Drosophila melanogaster: one gene and its partners. The protein of the gene in region 4 interacts with the protein of the main gene of each other region in a pairwise test. Each region holds a gene or a part of one and is shown on either strand. Other genes may lie near its edges. The genes, in order: Boot, CG5614, CG12498 and CG7742.

Region 1 (5,241 bases), on a different chromosome or scaffold from region 4:
GATCAAATGTGGGTCCTCGTCACGGGAAATTTACTCAAACCCTCGGGAATAATCTTCCTGCCGTTTTGAAGCATCCTACGGCCGAAATCGATGTGTAACTACTAGGTTTTAATGGAAATTTCCCGGAACAGCTGATAAACAACACAGTGCAAGTGGAAAGTATTTTCCCTCTAAAACTTTTAATGAAACAATGTTATGTATTTGGTTTGTACCAATCATGTTTTTCGTAGATTTTCCTAATGGTTTGACATACTGCAGTGAGCTTTAAATACCATTATTAAAGATAAGTAAAATCAAGCTATCCAGTATGTAAAATTTGTTTGTTTATAATCAATATAATTATAGCATAACAAAGTTTAGTGACACACACTTTGAGATCTGCGTTCAATACTTGTTGAAAAGTTGGTTAAGTTAAGTTAATCCGGAAACCAAAAAGGATATTTAAGATAATATCCACTTTCTGAGCGAATAATTTTGTCAGCCAGTGTGCGTGGGGAAAGTTCATCGTGACAAAGAATTTGGCGAAAAAGTGTTTACTGATAATCTTCGGCTTGGTCGGCGTCAGATGCGATTAAGGCTGTCAAGGCGAGCCTACGGATCTGGTGATATGGTATTAGTTTACTCCAGCACATGCCTAAGGCTGATAATGGAGGCGGCAACGAAAACACAGATAGCTAGGGTGTGTAAAACACCTCAAGTTGTGCCATTTCGGCTCCGGAAACCCACACATCCTTACCTTTGGAAAACTGTTGGAGCAACTGCTTCGACTTCAACATGCTTGGCACTACCGAAGACGAACAACGCACATTTAGGGTACTGTGTTCAGTTTATTTCGTATTCGTTAAGAAAATCGTTTGGGAAAAAGACTACGCTATAAAAGTAACCAAATGCAAAGAATCGATGGCTCTTTCTTCAGTTGGCCACTTTCGAATGCTTTTGCACAAACAACAAAATAACTGCGTGTTCGTTCTACACTCGACAAAGCACAAAACATAGGTTGAGGTTAGTGTTTAGCACACTATCCTAAGTTACGATCACTACTAACTATCCCGCTATCCGATCCCGATGATCATTTTCACGTCCGCTCTCTGGGTGCTTGGCAGATTAACTGATTATTACTCTGTTCGTCTCCGGCACATCAGTTATGTATGTATATAAAATCGCCTTCGCTGTAAATTTATCGCCGTTTGTTTCTATTTTCGTCCGCTTTCGCTTCTCACATCTCGTTCGTCCGTGTGTACTTCTTGTTGTGCATTACTGATAAGAGGCCCAGCCTGTTCTTATCAGCCGAAATATGTGTTATATATATAAAAAAAAGAGGCAGAAAGCGACTATTCACCCCTGCCATTCACTGGGCATCGTCGAAATCGTCTTCTTCTTGCCTGCGTCGACTCGCAATTCGCACAGAAAGTGCCCGCCAATCCGGCGAACTTAATTTAAACATGGGCTGCTGAGTACTTAGAAATAACAGAAGTCAGATAGATCCCTTAAATGCAACTTGATGTCGGTTTTCTAGTTAAAACGTTGCAGTTGGTCCCTTCCTCCTTCACGTTCAGGCAATGCGACACTTCGGGACTCCTCCATCGGTCCGTTTATCCAGTCGATGTTCTTAAATAAGAAAACCGTAAACTTATTTAAAAATACAAAGTTAATATGAATCATTTCTTGAAGCTTAATGCCTTTTTTCTTACACGTGCAGTTTGTAAGGCTTTCTTTCAAATCTCTATTGTGTGGTATTAGATTACACATGATTTCGAATATTACCTTGAAGATGTCACACGAGTCTCCTTGGTTGTTTTGCTGGGCAACGCTCTTGAGCAAGAGCATCACGTTGTGGGCCATTTTACTGATTTTCATGCTCTCGGAATCAACTGCTGCGGGTTTCAGGTCAGTCTGCGGCTTATTAATATCCTGCGCTTCTCCAGCAAACACATTCATCGAGTTGTCCGTGTAACGCGTGATGGTTTCACAAGGCAAATGGTTCTTGACACGATTATCCGGAATGTGGGACACCGAATCGATTAAAGAGCCGATCGAGGTGGAGCCGGTCCAGTCGTAGTGGTCAGGTCCCATGTAGTTGCGGCTGCTACGCGGATCAGTGGGTGCCTGGTGAGTATACTGGAAATGTTTATTTACATCAATGTCAAGGTCAGTTTGTTGATTTGAATGGATTTCTTGACTGCTGAAGGCATTGTAGGCGTAGCGCAGGACCTCCTTCTTGGCAATCTGGGGCTGGTGCTGATGACGATGGAATTCATTCCGTTCATGGTGATTATACTGACGATTGCGTCTCTTGTTAAAATTATTACGAAATCGAGAGCCTTCTCTCAGATCAAGGCGCGACTTAACGTGACCACGTGCCTGGTCACTGAGCCCCAGTTGAGCCGCCGCTGATGGCCGGTTGACGTTGTTACCATTCATGCGCCACGTGGCTGAGCCTTGTGAGGCCTCCGAGCTTTGAGACTCCGTCTCGCAGTACACCTTATCAAAGTCATTAATCTCAAAGTTGATTTGCGAAACATTGGAATCGAACTCGGTTAGAATTGATTGGCCATTTGCTAGCACGGAACCCTGGAAATCTTCAACTTCAACATCGGTATCGCCACCCTGATCCTGGTCCTTGTAGGTTTGCAAGTGCCCCAGCTGGCGATTATCGCCCTTGGGGGCTGCATTACTCGAGTATCGTGGTGGTATTCTGGGTTTTGGTACTACGCATTGCTCGAAGTACTCATCTGTCAGATAAAAAAAACGAATATTTTAAGGACGATCACAAATTGAGCAGACATTTTTACGTACCCAAAGACAGAATGACTCCGGATGCATTGAAATCCGTCATCGTGCACTCGCAATTAAGCCTAAAATATAGAAACAAAAAAAGCTTGGCGCCGCGTCAGTCTGGTCCGCAAGAAAAACAGTTAGAACCACCGCGTTTGTAGAGCTGCAAGTGCTGCAATCGAATATTACCACCCGGATAAATCGAAGTAAAACTTCTTTGCACTGGTCAGCTTTTGAGTTTTTACACCCGTTACTCGTAGTGTAAAATAGTATACAAAAGCATATTCTTGATCAGGATCAATAGCCAAGTCGAGCACCTTTGCCACACCCCTCCTTATAATTACAAAACGCTCAAAACACACTTATGAACAATTTTTAATTTTTTCTCATTTTATTTAGCAGTATCTATCATGATAAATTTTCGTGTTCGCATATCCACTAGCTGAGTAAGAGTATTTTCTAGTCGGGTAGTATTTGTCTAAGATCTATTCATTTTATTTAAAGTTTATTAAACATAAAATATTATTAGTGTTTTATTTGTGTGAATTCTTTTTCTTTGTTTATTTTCTTCTTTATTAAATTAAATCAAGTATTGACTTAAGTTTAATATGGGGCAATAACTTGTATGTATTTACTTAAATCGTTCAATGCGAACTTGTTTTGGTAAATCAGTTTTTCATAACAGTGCGCCACCTTGAAAACAGACCACAAACGCAGGCGTTAGGCGTTTCAGTATTCTTGAAAGTACAAGCAGCGTGCACACTGCACCACCAATCGCCGCCAACTTCACTGGCTTCTCTTCACTTTTTTAAAGAACGTGGAGCGAACATCACCGCATTGGAAACGATTAAAAAAATATATATAAAAATGTAAGTATTATAGATATGATAGGCGACCGGTGAGTGCAGCGATTATAACTGCAAATCGAGTTCTACTGGCTTGTTTGCAGAACTCAATGTTGCAAGATTAATTTGTGATGCGCAGGGAAATGCACTTCACCGATTGCAATTCAAATTGCAGTCACGTGGTCGAGATTCCATTGCAGTCTCAACAAATTAAAAATTAAAAAAGAACGTTAGCTAAACGATGCGTTTGCTTATATTGCAGGTGAATCTGTGATTACTAGGCGCTGCGTTAAAGCGCTGGCATTTGTGAATTGGTAAGTTTCATCATTGTATTTATTTATATTTTTGTTAAATAATATTAATATTTTCATGCGAGCATGAGTCGCTGGTGTAAAGAAACTACTACTTTAGCTAGTGCTTTTTACTTGCTCGCAGAAAAACGTGCTTTGCCCAAGCATAACCCAAATTTAAAAAACCCGAGTTTGCGGTGCATATTATTTTCGTGAAGCTGACAGTTTAAACCCTCTTAACTAGCTAAGTTTAGTATTTGCGAATATGGCTAACCCAGCATTCCATTTTCAGAAACAAAATGGCCTCTTATGCTCAACACGTGTTTTCTGGCAGAGTTGGAGAGAGACAGACGGTAAGAATTCGTTCCAAATCCCAAATTAGCCCTTCTCAGTTATCTGATGATTTATAATTCTATTTTCTGACATCTCTTATGAACCGTTGTGATTCAAATCAGTTATAACTAATTCTGACACATTCGACTCTCAACTAAATATAATTTTTACTTGTGGCCGTGACTTATGAGAACTCATCTATTACTTGCAGATCGGTCTTTCGATTTGGATTCGGAATATAAATGAGGTTATCAGCGTGAAATGGTAATTATTCTCTTCATTTATGAAAACTACTTAAAATTTCGTGATGAATGACCCTATCATCATCTTTCGACTGAAAATCATTTTGATGCTATACTAGTTTTCACTGAATTTTAAACGCTTTAAAAAAACCTGTTAAAAAGATTGTTACATTTGAATAACACAAATATATTTTAATTTCAGTTCATTGCAACGTCAATATCATGTATCAAACGTGGCTCACTAACACAGTGAAAAAGGTAATAATTCGGTTTAAGATAATAAAAAAATTTAGTTTAAATTTTATGTGTAAATTGGACAATTAATTGTGTTGTGATGAATGAAACTTACACCATCTTTCGACTGAAAAATGTTATGAAGCTATACGAGTTTTTACTGAAACCCCTTCATTTTATTATTTTTGTGTTTTATAAGTTTTTTAGAAAATCGGTTGCTGCTCTTTATAACCATTTAATTTTTGTCATTTTGCAGTGTTCAAGAAAACCACCTTTGATTGTCGCGTCATATGCCCAAACAAGGATCTCTCCTTTGAAAAGGTAAATTATACTCTAGAACGAAATAATATGTAAATGATGCTTTTAAAATTTCTGACATCTCTAATGAACCGTTGTGATTCAAATTTTTCTAATATAATTAACTGATCATTTTAAAATCGCTTAAACGATTGAGTTATATTTGAATAACTACTTATTTGTATTGTTTTTGATTTTTTTTTTTTTTTTACAGATGTGAAACAT
Region 2 (3,998 bases), on a different chromosome or scaffold from region 4:
ATAATTAATGAAATAAAATCCCGTCTTCATCTTTTGTTGCCTCTGACGCGCTGCCAACGAAATTCTCGGCTCAATTTAATTCCCTTGAGAGGCAATTATGCCTGAAAGGAGGAGGCACTCCTCCATTAACCCCCTAAAGCCCCTATACACACCGCTTTCTTTGCCTGCAGTTTGCTTTTGTTCAATTTGCTGGCCATTTCGCCTGCAGGCCAAAGGATCCAGGATTCTGGCCCTGGAATGGAAACAGAAACAGGACCAGAGGCCCAGCAGCAAATGGGGGAAAAGCATAATTAATGCGATTAGCAAAATGCGAAAGTGTCACTGAAATAACAACAATACGGCAATGATAATAGCCAAAAAGGAAGCCATTCCGGCAAAATAAGAAATACCCTTTCCATTCACTATTAAAACAGATAGCTTAAAAACATCTTAAAAGTGTAAACTGAATTTAGAGGCATATAGCACATATATTAAATAAAAAATATATATTAAAGGAATATTATAGCTGAGAAAAATTCAACTAAATTTTGAATTTAAATGCAATTTGATTATCGATTAAAATAACGATTTGTATATTTAGATTAATTTGGATCTCAACTGCTTTGAAGTACTGAAATGCATTCAGCCTTAGAGTAAGGATATATTTCATAGGCAAAACATTTCTTTGGAAAAACCCTCTAGTAGTTCGTACTCTTCTCATTCGAGGTCAGTTCAGGTCAGGCTAAGTTGACCCCGATGCCACTTAACGGGTTCGAGGCTCAGCAAACCAGCGGAAATGTGTCGCAGCCATTTTGGCTAATTGGCTTTGCTTTGCTACACCAATAAAAATTGGTAGCAAGATAAACCGGAAATGGCGCAGCATTGAGCTTAATATATAGATATGTTTATCTACCAAATTTCGCCAGGATTTTTTGCTGCCTTGCCAACACTTTTGCTAATTAGTCGAGCAAATATTTAAGCGAGGGCTGAGTGGAAAACTTTAAGGCTAATGCGGCTGGCATTTTTCACCGATGAATTTTTGTGCTCAAAAAACTTTTGGCTGGCTATAAATCAGCTGCTACCCCTGCCCGGCCATTCGCTCTTAACAATTCCATTACAAAAATTAAAAGCAAATGCAAAGATAACTTTTTCCAACAAGCCTGGGAAAAAATGGCAAGAAAATAGTTATTAAATATTTCTTTGGCTCAATCGCCGAGCGAACTTTTGCAGCACCTACACATAAATGAAAAGAAAAACTCACCAGCCAAAAAAGCAACCAGAAGTTGATCCTGATAAAGTTTTGTGTATATTTTTTTCTACCATTCTCGTTAGCTTTTTTATAAACTCTTATAAACGTATTAATTTGTGTGATTATCGCCCTAGAACTTAAAAGAGCAATGGGTTTTACAAAGGAGATTACCAATATATTATTCCACAACAAAAAGAATTTTGATATTTATTAAGTGTTTTTTTTTTTTTTGTTTATAAAAAAGTAAAATATCTTGTCTACAGGTTTCCTTACACCGATTGAATAAAATTCTCAGCCAAAACTTAGGTTCAACAACTTCAACTAATGGCTAATATATGCGCAGACTGACCAAACTTCAAGGTTATCTGAATGATTAACGAGTTGGACTGATTTGGCAAGTGAAATAAACTTTCCAGACATTAGTAGAAAACATGGAGAGTGGCCAATAAAATTCGAATGATCTCAATCATTAAGGAGGCTGTGTGAAAAAAGGCTAAGCTGAAATTTCTAGCATATGCCCACAACTAAACTCGTATTCAAATTGAACGTACATAAATTGTTGAGGTCATCAGTGTAGATATAAAATTTATAAAGTGTATGTTTTGTTAACTTAAATTAGTTTAGTACAAAATTCACAACCATGAGTTCGCATAAGATTAACCTGGAGAATGCCTACCAGAAGATGATAGAACAGAATATCAAAAGTCAGTTGGAGAAAAATGGAACCATGGCGGCACTACGGAGCGAAATGCACGTGAAGATCCTCCAGATGATACGTGGCCAGCAGAATAAGTCCAAAGTCCAAGCACTAACTGGTGGATCCAATCAATCGGAGGATCACAGCCTGGTCAAGCTGATCAACCAGATGATTATGGAGTTCCTCGATTGGTTCGGCTACAAGCACACCATGGAAACATTTCGCATGGAGACGGGTGAAAACGTGGCCAATCGCAGGGAGATGGAACAAAGTCTACACATCACACCCGAGTCAAAGGATTTTCCGCTCCTGGCTCAACTAGTTATGCGCGATTGGAAGTTCGGTGTGCAAAAAGGAGGTTCCAAAAAGTTGGTTCAGCTACCGGATCCTATGGAGGCCACTGTGCAAAGGAGTCGAAAATTGGTACAGGAACTAAAAGTTATGAGAGCACAAAAATCAGAAGTTAACCAAGGCAGACTAGTTCAAAACAATCGAAAACTCATCACTAATAATACGTTCACGAAAGGTCTCACACCCAAGAGCATTAGTACTCCACCTCGTTCGATCAAGAACGAGAATCCGAAGTCATACGTAGATAGTTCTGAATCCGATGTCCTGGAATCGGATTACAGCGAAGAAGAATCGGAGGACAGTGACGCATATAAGGACATACCCGATAGACAGATATTTATCGATGACTTGCCGCCAGAGGGAAAATATGCCCCAAATTATGGAGAAGAAGGTCCTTTTGAGGGTAAACAAAATCAGGCAAATGAACGCGACAATATTCCGAGCACATCGAGGAAGCAACATTTTTCAAGGAAGCCAGAAACTGAAAGTTCCGACTCTGATGATAAGCCTTCGATCAGTGGAATAAATAAAGTTTCAAGGCAGGACTATTGGAATTCCCCGCGAGGAGTGCAACTACGGAACAAAAATACCTTAAAACCGGAGGAAGAATGTGATACCCACATAAGAAAAGTCAATTTAGACAGCGATTACAGCTCGGATGAAGATTGATCAATGCCAGAAGTTCCTTATTTTTAAATTAGAAAGTCAATTTGTGTATGACAGTTGTCTTGGAAATTTCTTGCAGCTACACTAATAAACAATACATTTTGATTGGAGCATTTTTTTTAATTTTTAAGGATATTAAGGATTCTTAATGCGCATCTCTTACTTGCGAAATATTTAGATATTTACTGCCTTGCCTTTCAATTAATTACTGCTGGAGTTTACTGCTGGTTTTCTATTTAATATTCGAAACACAAACCACGAGGTTAACAATTAGTTAACTCGCCTCCGGGTCAACGGGGCTAAGGGTAAGGAATGACCAAAATGGCAGTCAATGGGGGACCGGCGACCATTGTGTTACATCATTATAATTGAAATCAATATCCCCCAGACGATGGCCACCCCCGATGGAAAGGGGGTGGTGGCATGAGGTGCAGTAATCGCGAATCGGATGCCGCCTGTCAATTCGATTGCATTAAAATGGCGTGCGAGTCTTAACACCATTAATTACAACGGCAATGAGTCAATATTATGACAGTTGCAACTGTGACCCCGACAACAAAGCGAACACGGTGGTGGCCGAAACCAAAGCCGGCCGACAACATCCTCAATCAATTAATTAGGCCTATCGGGAATGTCGTCGGAGGTCTCTGACCCTCTTAAGCAATCCGGTGTGCGATTGATTGATTTTATGCAGATGGATGAAACCCGAAAAGATGAATGGCGAAAACAGATATTGTTCAGGTGGGGTTTTCAAAACAAAGAGGTAAGTATTTGGAATGAACAATCTATTCACTTTTACAAATAATCTAGTTGCTTAAATTCCTTTCATTTTATGGTAAGAAAACTTGCTCGTAATAATACTAATACCAATGATTGCAATCACATCCTTTAGTTTGCTCTACTCTATCCAAACCAAACGGCAGGCACTTACATACAAGCACCCAGTAAACGATGGCCAACTGGTGCCTACATATATACGGATATATACGGATATACGCGGAAATATATACGAATCCACATGGAGCATATCAATAACCTGTACGGAGCGTACGAAAA
Region 3 (4,165 bases), on a different chromosome or scaffold from region 4:
CGCTTCGTTTTGGCCAAGTTCACTTGCTAATTTTACATTTCCTAATTGCTCATCAGTCGCTTGATTGTTAGCCACGCCCCCCACCCCCAGCAGAACGCCCCCCTTTCGCGGACTCTCGCTCATTTAGCTGGTTAATTGCATTTCATTTAATTTCCGTCATTTCTTTTGCCCTATTGACGATATTTTGTTGCCATTTCGTAACGTTGCTCCAAGTTTGTTGTTCATTAGCGTGCCAAAGTTGCTCCCAAATCTGCAAAGGGGCTGGCCGCTAGGTGGCGCCACACCGGCGACAAAAGCCGTTCAAAGGGGTCGAATTTCTTGGCCACCTTGGCCATCTCAATCTCTTTGCTCTTTCACTGTTTCACTGCTAATTGCACGGCATTTAAGTGTCCCCCAATTTCCACTCCCCACGCTCCCACATTGTATCGTTTTAAAAACATTTTATTTGCAGAATTTATAGGTGCTGTAAAAGTGTAAGTTCCAAATTGCATTCAACACCCTTGAACTTAAATCATTTTTAAACTCCAAGCATAAACTTTTATTAAAGCTTGAGCGCTCATAGATCCTCCTAATTTATATAAACAAAATCCGCTGGTGTTCATTATATTTCAACCAGTTCGATGGATTACATTTTAACACATTTTAAGTCCAAAAATTCGCACAACAATTATGACTGTAATTATTTATGATAACAAGCCATTAAAAGTTCCACCAATTGCCATTATCTTTGCTAAATAAATGTTCAAAAATTAACAATTGCCTATTAATTTGGTTCAGTTTTTGGTAATAATGGAGCAGCTGCCCCCGGATCTTCCTCCTCGTCTACGGTATCCGCTTTTCCCCTCGATGGATTTTCAGTTGGCGATTGCGAAACGAACGGGAGCGAATGATTCAATTGCCAGGGATAAACAACGCCATGCCGCTCCATGATGCCGATTTTCTGCTGGGGCCTCAGGGCGAAGGAGAAGGTCCTTTGGATCAGGCTTAAAGGCTTGGCCTCCAACTGCAGTGCGTTGTACAGTTCGACCTTCTTGCGCGTCAGTATGTGGGTGGTGGGTGGACTTATGGCCTGGTTAACACAGTTATCGCGCCACAGTTCGAATTCCTCCTGGGTGAAGTTCAGGTTAGAGACATCGTTAATCTCGTGCTGCATCTCCAGGTCATCGTAGCGCAATCGCAGCGCCACATTCGTGGGTATCTGCTCCACTTTGTAGCCAAAGTCCAGTTCGCAGATGCCCAGCACCTCGGCGATTCGATGATCAGGCAACTCTCCCTGCCCACTGACATTCACGCGGACAAAGCATCCAGTGACGGCCTGCTCGAAGGCGGGTCGAACCAGAAGCAGACCGATTCGATGGCGGCTCAGACGTAGCAGCTCCAACTGATCGCGACTGGTCACCGGTAGATCCGGAGTTGGTGGCTTCTCGTAGCCATTCACCCACGACTCGTTCTCGTCGTCGATCCGCAGAGGCGAGGCGCGAAGATTCCTCAGTTCGCGGACTATTTCCGCTGCCGGACGACGAACGTGTCGGGATCGCTGGTTAGACATTTAAGTGGGCTTATGTGAGCTTCGCCAAAAAGGTTTCCTCAATCAACATTCGAACAATTTTTTAAGGGTTTCGGCTTGTTACTTGACCAAACCAAATTGTGACAACTGAATCCGTGGGGGCGACAGCAAACCCGAATAAATTTGTGCTCAACTCGAAAATGGTAGCCACATTTCAAAAACTCGAGTAAGTATAGACCGTAAAGCTGTAGAATATTTTGCAGGGCACTCATTTCGTTCTTTTTTTTTTTCTAGCTGATCCATTTGAATGCATTTAACGACCCGCCTTCGTTTTATGCCCTCCATAAATGCCAGGGGCCAAACTATTAAATTTATATTAATTTCGTAGTTTTTCCTTGGCTAGCATTTCACTTGGCACCCGCTGCTTAAGCCCACATTTTCCCCCCTTGCCGATTATATATACCTGCTGGGGTTGAAAGGAGCGAGAGTGGGTTGGATCTTTTCCCATTTGGCAAAAGATTTATTATACAATTGCTTTAATTACAGTTGCAGCTAATTGTATGCGGACCTCCCGGGCAGATGCTACTTTTGATGCTGGCACAGAGCCCATTCAGTGGGTGGTGGATGCCTGGCTACTGGCTACTGGATATAGTGGGTAATCGGTAGTGGAAAGTGGGTAGTGTATGGTGTATGGTGGCGAGTTAATGGAAGGACGGTGGTTGCCTGATGGAAGGGTAATGCAAAATCTTTGCATGCTTTGTATGTGAGTCTGCATAAATAACTTGGTTGTATGTGTGGCACATCGAAAATGCTGCTCACGCACAAATTCTCCTCGCTCTGCTTGTCGTCCTTGCGACCCCCTCCTGACACCCCCTGCCAACCACCACCTTCAACAGCACCTCATTTTGGAGTCTCCCTCAGCCAGTTCCTTTGGATCCGCCGCCCCATCCTTCAGCATGCGCATACACTTAAGGGCAAACTCGTTTATGCAAGCTCAGTCATCATCATCATCATCATCATCATCATCATCGTCATCATCGGCATCATCGGCATCATCGGCATCCACATCCATATCCTTGTCCACCGCCACATCAGCATCGCTATTCAGGCCATCTTCTCCTCCCCTGCTCAAGTATCCAACACCTCATCTCATCTTCGATGAGCTGACCAACAGAAATTCCCTTCGATTTCAATGATGCTTTCTTTTTTTTTTTTTTTTGGCCATAAAGCGAAAGAAACACTGGCAAAAATTGGTAATTAATCGGTTATATTGGATTTATAAATAAATTATAAATTATAATAGAAAAATCAAAATTTAATGGAATCTTTTTAGCAGGCAAATGAAAATATTTCCTGCTTAAGAGATATCTACAAATTGGCGTAATTTATGGAGATGGCGCGTGGGAGACAATCCCTCGGGCGAACTTTTGAAACAAATCATGTGGCGTTGAAGTTATTAAAACGGCGTAAAACTGAACATCATGCGAATAATTTAAACACTGGATGGCTATGAGTGTGAAAAATCCTAGAAAATTCTAAACGCCATGAGACCCATCCATCATGACGGCATCAGCTGGTCCAACTGGAGGACCCAACATCAAGTCGACGAGGCTCAAGAACTTTTCCTCGAACACCTTTAGGCCGGGGGCGCGGTACAGTCACCACCGCCATGGAGGCCAGTTGGCCACTCCTTGACGTTGACAGGCTGTGCACAAAGTTTGCGCCCATGAGTAGTGTCATGGGTAGTACGTAGTACGTACGTATGTATGTATGTACCATAGGCAAAAGGCGGTGGAGAAGCTGCGAAGGAGGCCGGAACCCTCGTCCAGCTGGCTGACATGCCAAGCCCTTAACCCTTTGCAGTGCTGCCAGCAGTGCTCTTCGGTCCTCAAACCCTAATGAAGTGCAAGAATATATATATGGAAGCTAGTACGAATAACTATTAGGATCCACCATTTTTTTCCCCCTCTGCTAATTACTGCTCACCACTTAAATCAAACGTTCACTAGTTACTAGTTAGCATTTGAGCTGGACTTCTTGATTCAAGTTGCTGGAATGCAAACGCACCCACGAAATTCAAAGGCTCAAGTGCTGGCAAATTCCCGTACCATAAATGGCGGAGGACACAGGCTGGCTGCGAACGAATCTAGGATACGGATACCCGTGTCAAAAAAAAAAAAAAAAATAAAAGGAAAGACACAAGGCGGAGCGGGCGGTAAATGTGACTAGGCCAGGGGCAGTTGCCAGTTGCCGGTTGCCGGTTGCCAGTTGCGAGGTGCCAGTTGGCAGCGAGGCAGGGAAACTTGTTTGTTGCACAGAAACAAAGCGCTTCTGCTTTTCATGTAAAATGACAGAAACAAGTGTTAATGGTTTTGGGCTTAGCGGGCGGGGGGCGGCGTGGGTTAAGCTAAGTGAAGGACGACGAACGCAGAATGGACAACTGGAAAATCTGCAGTCCAAGCAGATTAGATATCATATTAAAGGTGTGGCGGAATGGAAGCTACAGTCGCGTTTCTTAAAAAGCCAACGTATTTCATATTTGTAAGCTTGAAATACTTTGCAGTTATGAATATGCTTAATTTGTGGAACACAAGATCACATTCTGTTTGGATTTAGATTCAATTGGATCTTAAATCTATTAAAACGAAAACTGATTGA
Region 4 (5,528 bases):
GTGTTGGCCACACTTGTGGCATAAGTTCTAATTCGAACGCTGACATTTTGGTGGCATGAAATTTAAGGCTAGATTTACGATGTAATTACCACTGCAAATTGTTCTGCCCAGGAGCGAAGTCAACCGCGAATTAATTAATTACTGACTTCCTATTTATTTTTAAATTGATTTTTAAAATTCTATTTCTGTTCTTTTTATAATTTAATCATATTTAACTTTTATGCAGAATTCCACTGCTATAATATTTTACTGCTCCTCCCTGGGCGCTACAGATGCACATATTTTGCAATTAGAAAAGCTTTCCGGTTACTTATTCGGTTGAACGAGACAAACTTAATTAAAAAGATTTTATGGAACCTAGAGCATATAAAGTCGGAAAATAAAAAAATCAGTAAAGGCCTCAACGGAATCGAAGAGAATGATGAATAACATCTTGGTCTTAATAGGTAATTCAGGCTGAGTTAATAATAAAGTCATAAAGTAATCGTGTTTTAGGCTTCTCGAGTGTTATGCTCGTTGCTGGCTTAGATGATATGAACTGTTTTTCCCTGCAAAACGAAATTTGTCCCAATGCCAACATTTCCTTTTGGCTATACACGTAAGATTAATGGTTTTATACTATGATTTTCATTATCTATCCGTATCTGCAGAAAAGAAAATCAGGAGGGAACTAAGCTTTCAGTTTTTGAACTTAATCGTTTTGAATTTTATCACCACAAACCGCTCAAGGTTCTGATCCATGGATTCAACGGGCACCGCGATTTCAGTCCCAATACCCAGCTACGTCCGCTGTTCCTGACACAGGATTACAATTTGATATCCTTGGATTATCCAAAACTAGCCTATGAACCCTGCTATACGGAAGCGGTGCACAATGCCAAATACGTAGCTCGCTGTACTGCTCAGTTGCTACGAGTACTCCTCGAGAGCGGATTGGTCAAAATTGAGGATCTGCACCTAATTGGCTTGGGCTTAGGTGCCCATGTCGCAGGCTTCATTGGGCAGTTTCTTCCGGAACACAAGCTGGAGCATATTACAGCCCTCGATCCGGCAAAACCATTTTACATGGTCAAGGATCCGGCTCTAAAGCTCGATCCCACTGATGCCAAGTTCGTGGACGTCGTGCACACGGATGTCACGATGCTTGGCTTACTGGATGCAGTGGGTCACGTGGACTTCTACTTGAACATGGGTGTATCACAGCCCAACTGCGGACCCATTAATAAGAGTTAGTAATATTAAGGCCATCTGCTTTACCTATATTTTTCATTTTCGTTGTTCTGACTTTAGTGGAGACTCATTTCTGCTACCATAACCGAGCAGCAGACTATTATGCCGAGTCTATTTCGTCACCTTCTGGATTCTATGGCTTCTACTGTCCCAATTTTAAAAGCTTCGCAAAGGGAATTTGCATTCCTGATAAAAATATAGAGCTGATGGGTTTTCACGTGGATCCGAAGTAAGTGCCAGCACCTATTTTTCCAGATCTCTTTTTATCTATTTAATTGCAGAGCCAGAGGCAGGTATTTTCTGGATACCAATAATGGTCCTCCTTATGCCAAGGGAGAGAACTTTACCTCAATAAGCCGCCAACTAAAAGGTCGAACTTTCGTGAACGATGATATTATAGATAAATTGATTGGAACGTAGTAAGGGATGCTATCCAAATCTTAAAACGAATATTTTTAATTCATAAATAAACATTGAATAATGTACCACATAGAGGATTATATATCTCTATTTTCGTGTAAAAATTTTTGCCATTTCAAAATCATATTTCGGCCTGGTCTAAATATTCAGGTGAAATACTTTCGACACTCTGACATGTTCAGGTGAGTTTGGCCCACCTTCGCAATCAACAGGAGGAGCCAACCCGACGACCACGTCAACAACTCGTTGGGCCAGGTGACAGATGCCAAGAAAAAGGAAAAGTTGCCGCCACTCAGTTTCAGTTTCAGCGTGTTTCGGTGTGCGTGAAAATAAATGTATATGGAAAGCAATTTCACGCGCCTCTGGCTTTTCATTCGAAACGAAACATAATGGAATTTCTTGGTTGCGAGGGGCGGCAAAACGAACGAATCAAATCACAACTAACGCGAAACTAGCAGCCAAACAAGTGTTTGCATTCCGTCGCCAAGAAGCGACGACAACCGAGGATGTGACTCGGAATCGAATCGACTCCAAATCAAAGCAGGCGACGGAGTTTGATCGATAAAAGTCAAACGACGGAGTTAGGAGCGCCCAAAGTTTTGGGGCTAATCGGTATCAAAACGGTGTAAATAGTTAGTTGGTAGTCAGTGGCAGAGTAATACGTAGAAAGAACGGTCGGGTCAAGGAGCTATCGGCATGGAGGAGCTGCAGGATGCCAGCATCCACCATATGACCGCAAAGGTAATCGCGGCCATCAAGAACACTAAGAGCTACGAGCCCATCTACAAGGAGCTGCAGAAGCTGGTCTGCAATCCCAGCGTAGATACTCACGATATGCGCAACACCCTCGAGGATGCCATCAAGAGCGCCGGACTGGAGACGGAGATCCGGAATATTGTCTACAACCTGGTCCGCACGCGGCTGTCGAAAACAGATGACAAAAACCTGGCCAACAAACAGGGAGCGGTGGGTACAACTTTTAAGATACAATTTATCAAATTTCTTGTAATTGAATTTAGAATAATTGGAGTGGTATTTAAAAGTATTCCATGCTGCTCCTATCATTTTCTACTTTTTGACTTTATTGGCAAAATTTTATTTTATACCTTAACGTTTATAAAACAAATTATAATGATACATAATACCGGAAGATCTCGAAGTGCCACAACTATAGAGTTAGCCTTAGGGGTATTAGTAGTATGTAGTGCTAGGGAAAATGAATTAAATAGTTCTTTACTTATGTCTATATTTTCCAATAGAAACCCACCGTTAGTGATCCACTTGGATATTTAAAAAGAGCTGGTGTGCTTTGGGATCGAAGGGTTAGGAAGAGTTTGAATGCCATGTGTACAGAGCTGAAGGTTCCATTGCATGGACAACCAAGGATCAGTGCTGATCGCGAGGACTTTATGGCCAAGTGGAACGAACTGAGCAACTACAATATGGGTAGGCATTTCGTAAATATTGAAGCTAACAATTAACCATGGTTAAACTTCTAGATCTGGCCAACTATAGGCCTGTTTACGCTCCAAAGGATTTACTGGAGGTGCTACTCTCGCTAAAAGGACCCGCCAAAACCACTGAAAATACAGAGTAAGTTTTGGTTTAAATCAGTCAGGTAAATAATCATTTTGCTCATTAGTCAAATCCCCCAATGGGAGTTCTCCCACATTGCACTACCTGTGAAAAATCTTTTCGAGCTGCGTGCCCACTACGCGGATCTGCTGCGAAGTGATAGCTATTTGGGAGTGCCGGATCTTACGGTTCAGTGCCAGAGGATTCTGGAGGCCAGGCATGCGCCCATGTGCCAGCAGTTTCTGAAGAAGGGCTGCACACCCGCACCTTATAGGGGAGCTCTCTGGGCTTCGGTGCTGGACAGCAAGCTACATGACTACGTAACTACTGATTTTGGGATCAATAACCTCATTATACATCTCTATACCCCCGAAGGATATTGAGTACTGGCAAAAGCTGCGCAATGCCGTTTGGACTACGGATCACATCGTTGACAAACTGGTCTTCAAGGACATTCAGTTGACGGCCTCCAACGACGACCAGTACTTTGTGTTCGAGGACGTGCTCTACCAGGTGCTGCTCTGCTTTTCTCGGGACACCGATATCGGTGGATGTGTGGAATACGAGACGTTTCCGGTGAAGGGCAAGACCTACGAAGGTCCTCCATCGGGTGTGGTGCCCTTCCACGGCATCTGCATGTTTGCCGCCCCCTTTTGTTATCTGTATGACTCGCCGGTGAGTCTATACTATACATTCCGGGCCTTCTATATCCGGTACTGCCATCGCTTGACCACCATAAACACGCATCCTCAAGGGATTGTCAGTCTGTGCCTGCTCTTCGAGAAGCTGCTGCAGACATACGAACCGCAGTTATGGTCCCATTTCCGAGAGCTTCAGATACAGCCGTGAGTTGGGATTGGGTTTTTCGTTAGACAGCTATTTCACCCATTTCACGACATATCTTTCCTTAGCCTGCGGGTGGTCTTCAAATGGCTTATGCGAGCGTTTTCCGGACATTTGCCTCCCGATCAATTGCTGGTCCTCTGGGATCTGGTACGAAATACACCTCCGTTCTTATTGGCAGTACTTATCCCTTCCTTTTCAGATCCTTGGCTTTGATAGCTTGGAGATCCTTCCTCTATTCGCCATCATCATTCTTAGCTTTCGAAAGGAGAGCATCATGCAGGTGGCCTCGTTGGATAGCATCGAAGCGATTCTGGCAGACTTGTCCTCTATCAAGGTGCTGCCCCTAGTGCAACTAGCCCTAAGTCGAGACTAAAAGTGTGGTTTTAAGTTACAAAATTAAAGTATTAAGAGTGTTTGGAAATATAACATGTATGCAACTGGATAAACTATATTTAATATAAAGTCGTAACATTATTGAATAACTAATTGCGTTCAACAAAATCCAGCCAAACGCCGCCTTTTAAGGCTGGCATAAAGTAGGTATCATCAATTTCATTATCCTTGCGAGTTTTGGGATTAACCTTGATGTCGAAGTTTCGCACGATTTCCACCAGGGCAGCTTTGATTTGGGTAAGTGAAAACCGCATACCTACAAATTATGCATAGATTTTTTTTAGTAACTTTAATTGTTTCAAAAATGATGTTACCCACCGGGGCAAATACGTGGTCCATCGCCAAACCCAAAGAATAGACCCTGATCTCTGTACTTTTTGGCTCCGCCATTGATGTTCAGGAATCGCTCGGGCTTGAACGATTGAGGTTCCTCATAGTATTGGGGATCGTGGTGCAAGGCGTTCACAGGAATGATGACTACATCCCCGGGTCTCAGTTTCACGCTCACTCCGTTTTTGTTCGTCAGTTCACAGGGCTCAGTTACCACCTTGCGGGCAGCCAGAACAGGTGAGAAAATTCTCAAAGTTTCTGCAGATATAGATATTATACGCATACTAAATAACTTCAGATTTCGCCAAAAAACTCACCATGGATGCAGGCTTCGGTGAAGGGCAGCTCACTTATCTGTTCAAAGGTCAGCTCGGCGGTACCGATCTCCTCCCTCAACTTCATCTGCTCCTTGGGATTGCGTGCCAGGAAAAGGAGTGTGTGGGTAAGCACTTGTGCGGTGGTCTCGAATCCGTCCGTTAAAAATGTCATTGTGTGCGAGGTCAGCTCCGCCGCATTCAGTCCCTTTTTCTCCTGCAACTGCAACATGTAGTTGAGGAAGTCATCTCGCTGCTGTGCCGCCGGACTTTCCCGCCGAACTTGGATGCACTTCTGCATGAGGTCATAGAAGAACGCAGCCACGTCCTTGGCGAACAGCGAAACGGAGTAGAATTTCGTGATTGGTGGCCATAGATTGGCGACCACCGTGTAGAAAATGAAGCCAAAAGACTGTTCGA

Evidence for each region.
Region 1: the proteins of CG7742 (region 4) and Boot interact in a two-hybrid assay, tested with the Drosophila melanogaster proteins (one large-scale study listed by BioGRID).
Region 2: the proteins of CG7742 (region 4) and CG5614 interact in a two-hybrid assay, tested with the Drosophila melanogaster proteins (one large-scale study listed by BioGRID).
Region 3: the proteins of CG7742 (region 4) and CG12498 interact in a two-hybrid assay, tested with the Drosophila melanogaster proteins (one large-scale study listed by BioGRID).

The regions. Positions count from the first base shown.
Region 1 is NT_033778.4:9,091,696-9,096,936, forward strand, and holds Boot (bootlegger), read right to left. Parts: upstream 2,964-5,241; 5' UTR 2,837-2,963; coding exon 2,797-2,836; intron 2,733-2,796; coding exon 1,765-2,732; intron 1,609-1,764; coding exon 1,513-1,608; 3' UTR 811-1,512; downstream 1-810. Other genes in the region: Nadk2 (NAD kinase 2, mitochondrial), read right to left, coding at 35-74.
Region 2 is NT_033777.3:15,778,042-15,782,039, forward strand, and holds CG5614 (uncharacterized protein), read left to right. Parts: upstream 1-1,763; 5' UTR 1,764-1,868; coding exon 1,869-2,945; 3' UTR 2,946-3,051; downstream 3,052-3,998.
Region 3 is NC_004354.4:2,807,351-2,811,515, reverse strand, and holds CG12498 (uncharacterized protein), read right to left. Parts: upstream 1,636-4,165; 5' UTR 1,550-1,635; coding exon 764-1,549; 3' UTR 670-763; downstream 1-669.
Region 4 is NT_033779.5:5,211,405-5,216,932, reverse strand, and holds CG7742 (uncharacterized protein), read left to right. Parts: upstream 1-1,851; 5' UTR 1,852-2,346; coding exon 2,347-2,616; intron 2,617-2,772; exon of another isoform or gene 2,773-2,781; coding exon of another isoform or gene 2,782-2,847; intron 2,848-2,909; coding exon 2,910-3,096; intron 3,097-3,149; coding exon 3,150-3,243; intron 3,244-3,292; coding exon 3,293-3,545; intron 3,546-3,600; coding exon 3,601-4,070; intron 4,071-4,136; coding exon 4,137-4,218; intron 4,219-4,270; coding exon 4,271-4,444; 3' UTR 4,445-4,538; downstream 4,539-5,528. Other genes in the region: CG14034 (uncharacterized protein), read left to right, coding at 419-446, 496-598, 651-1,228, 1,291-1,459, 1,512-1,650; Cyp28d1 (cytochrome P450 28d1), read right to left, coding at 4,554-4,720, 4,783-5,052, 5,112-5,528.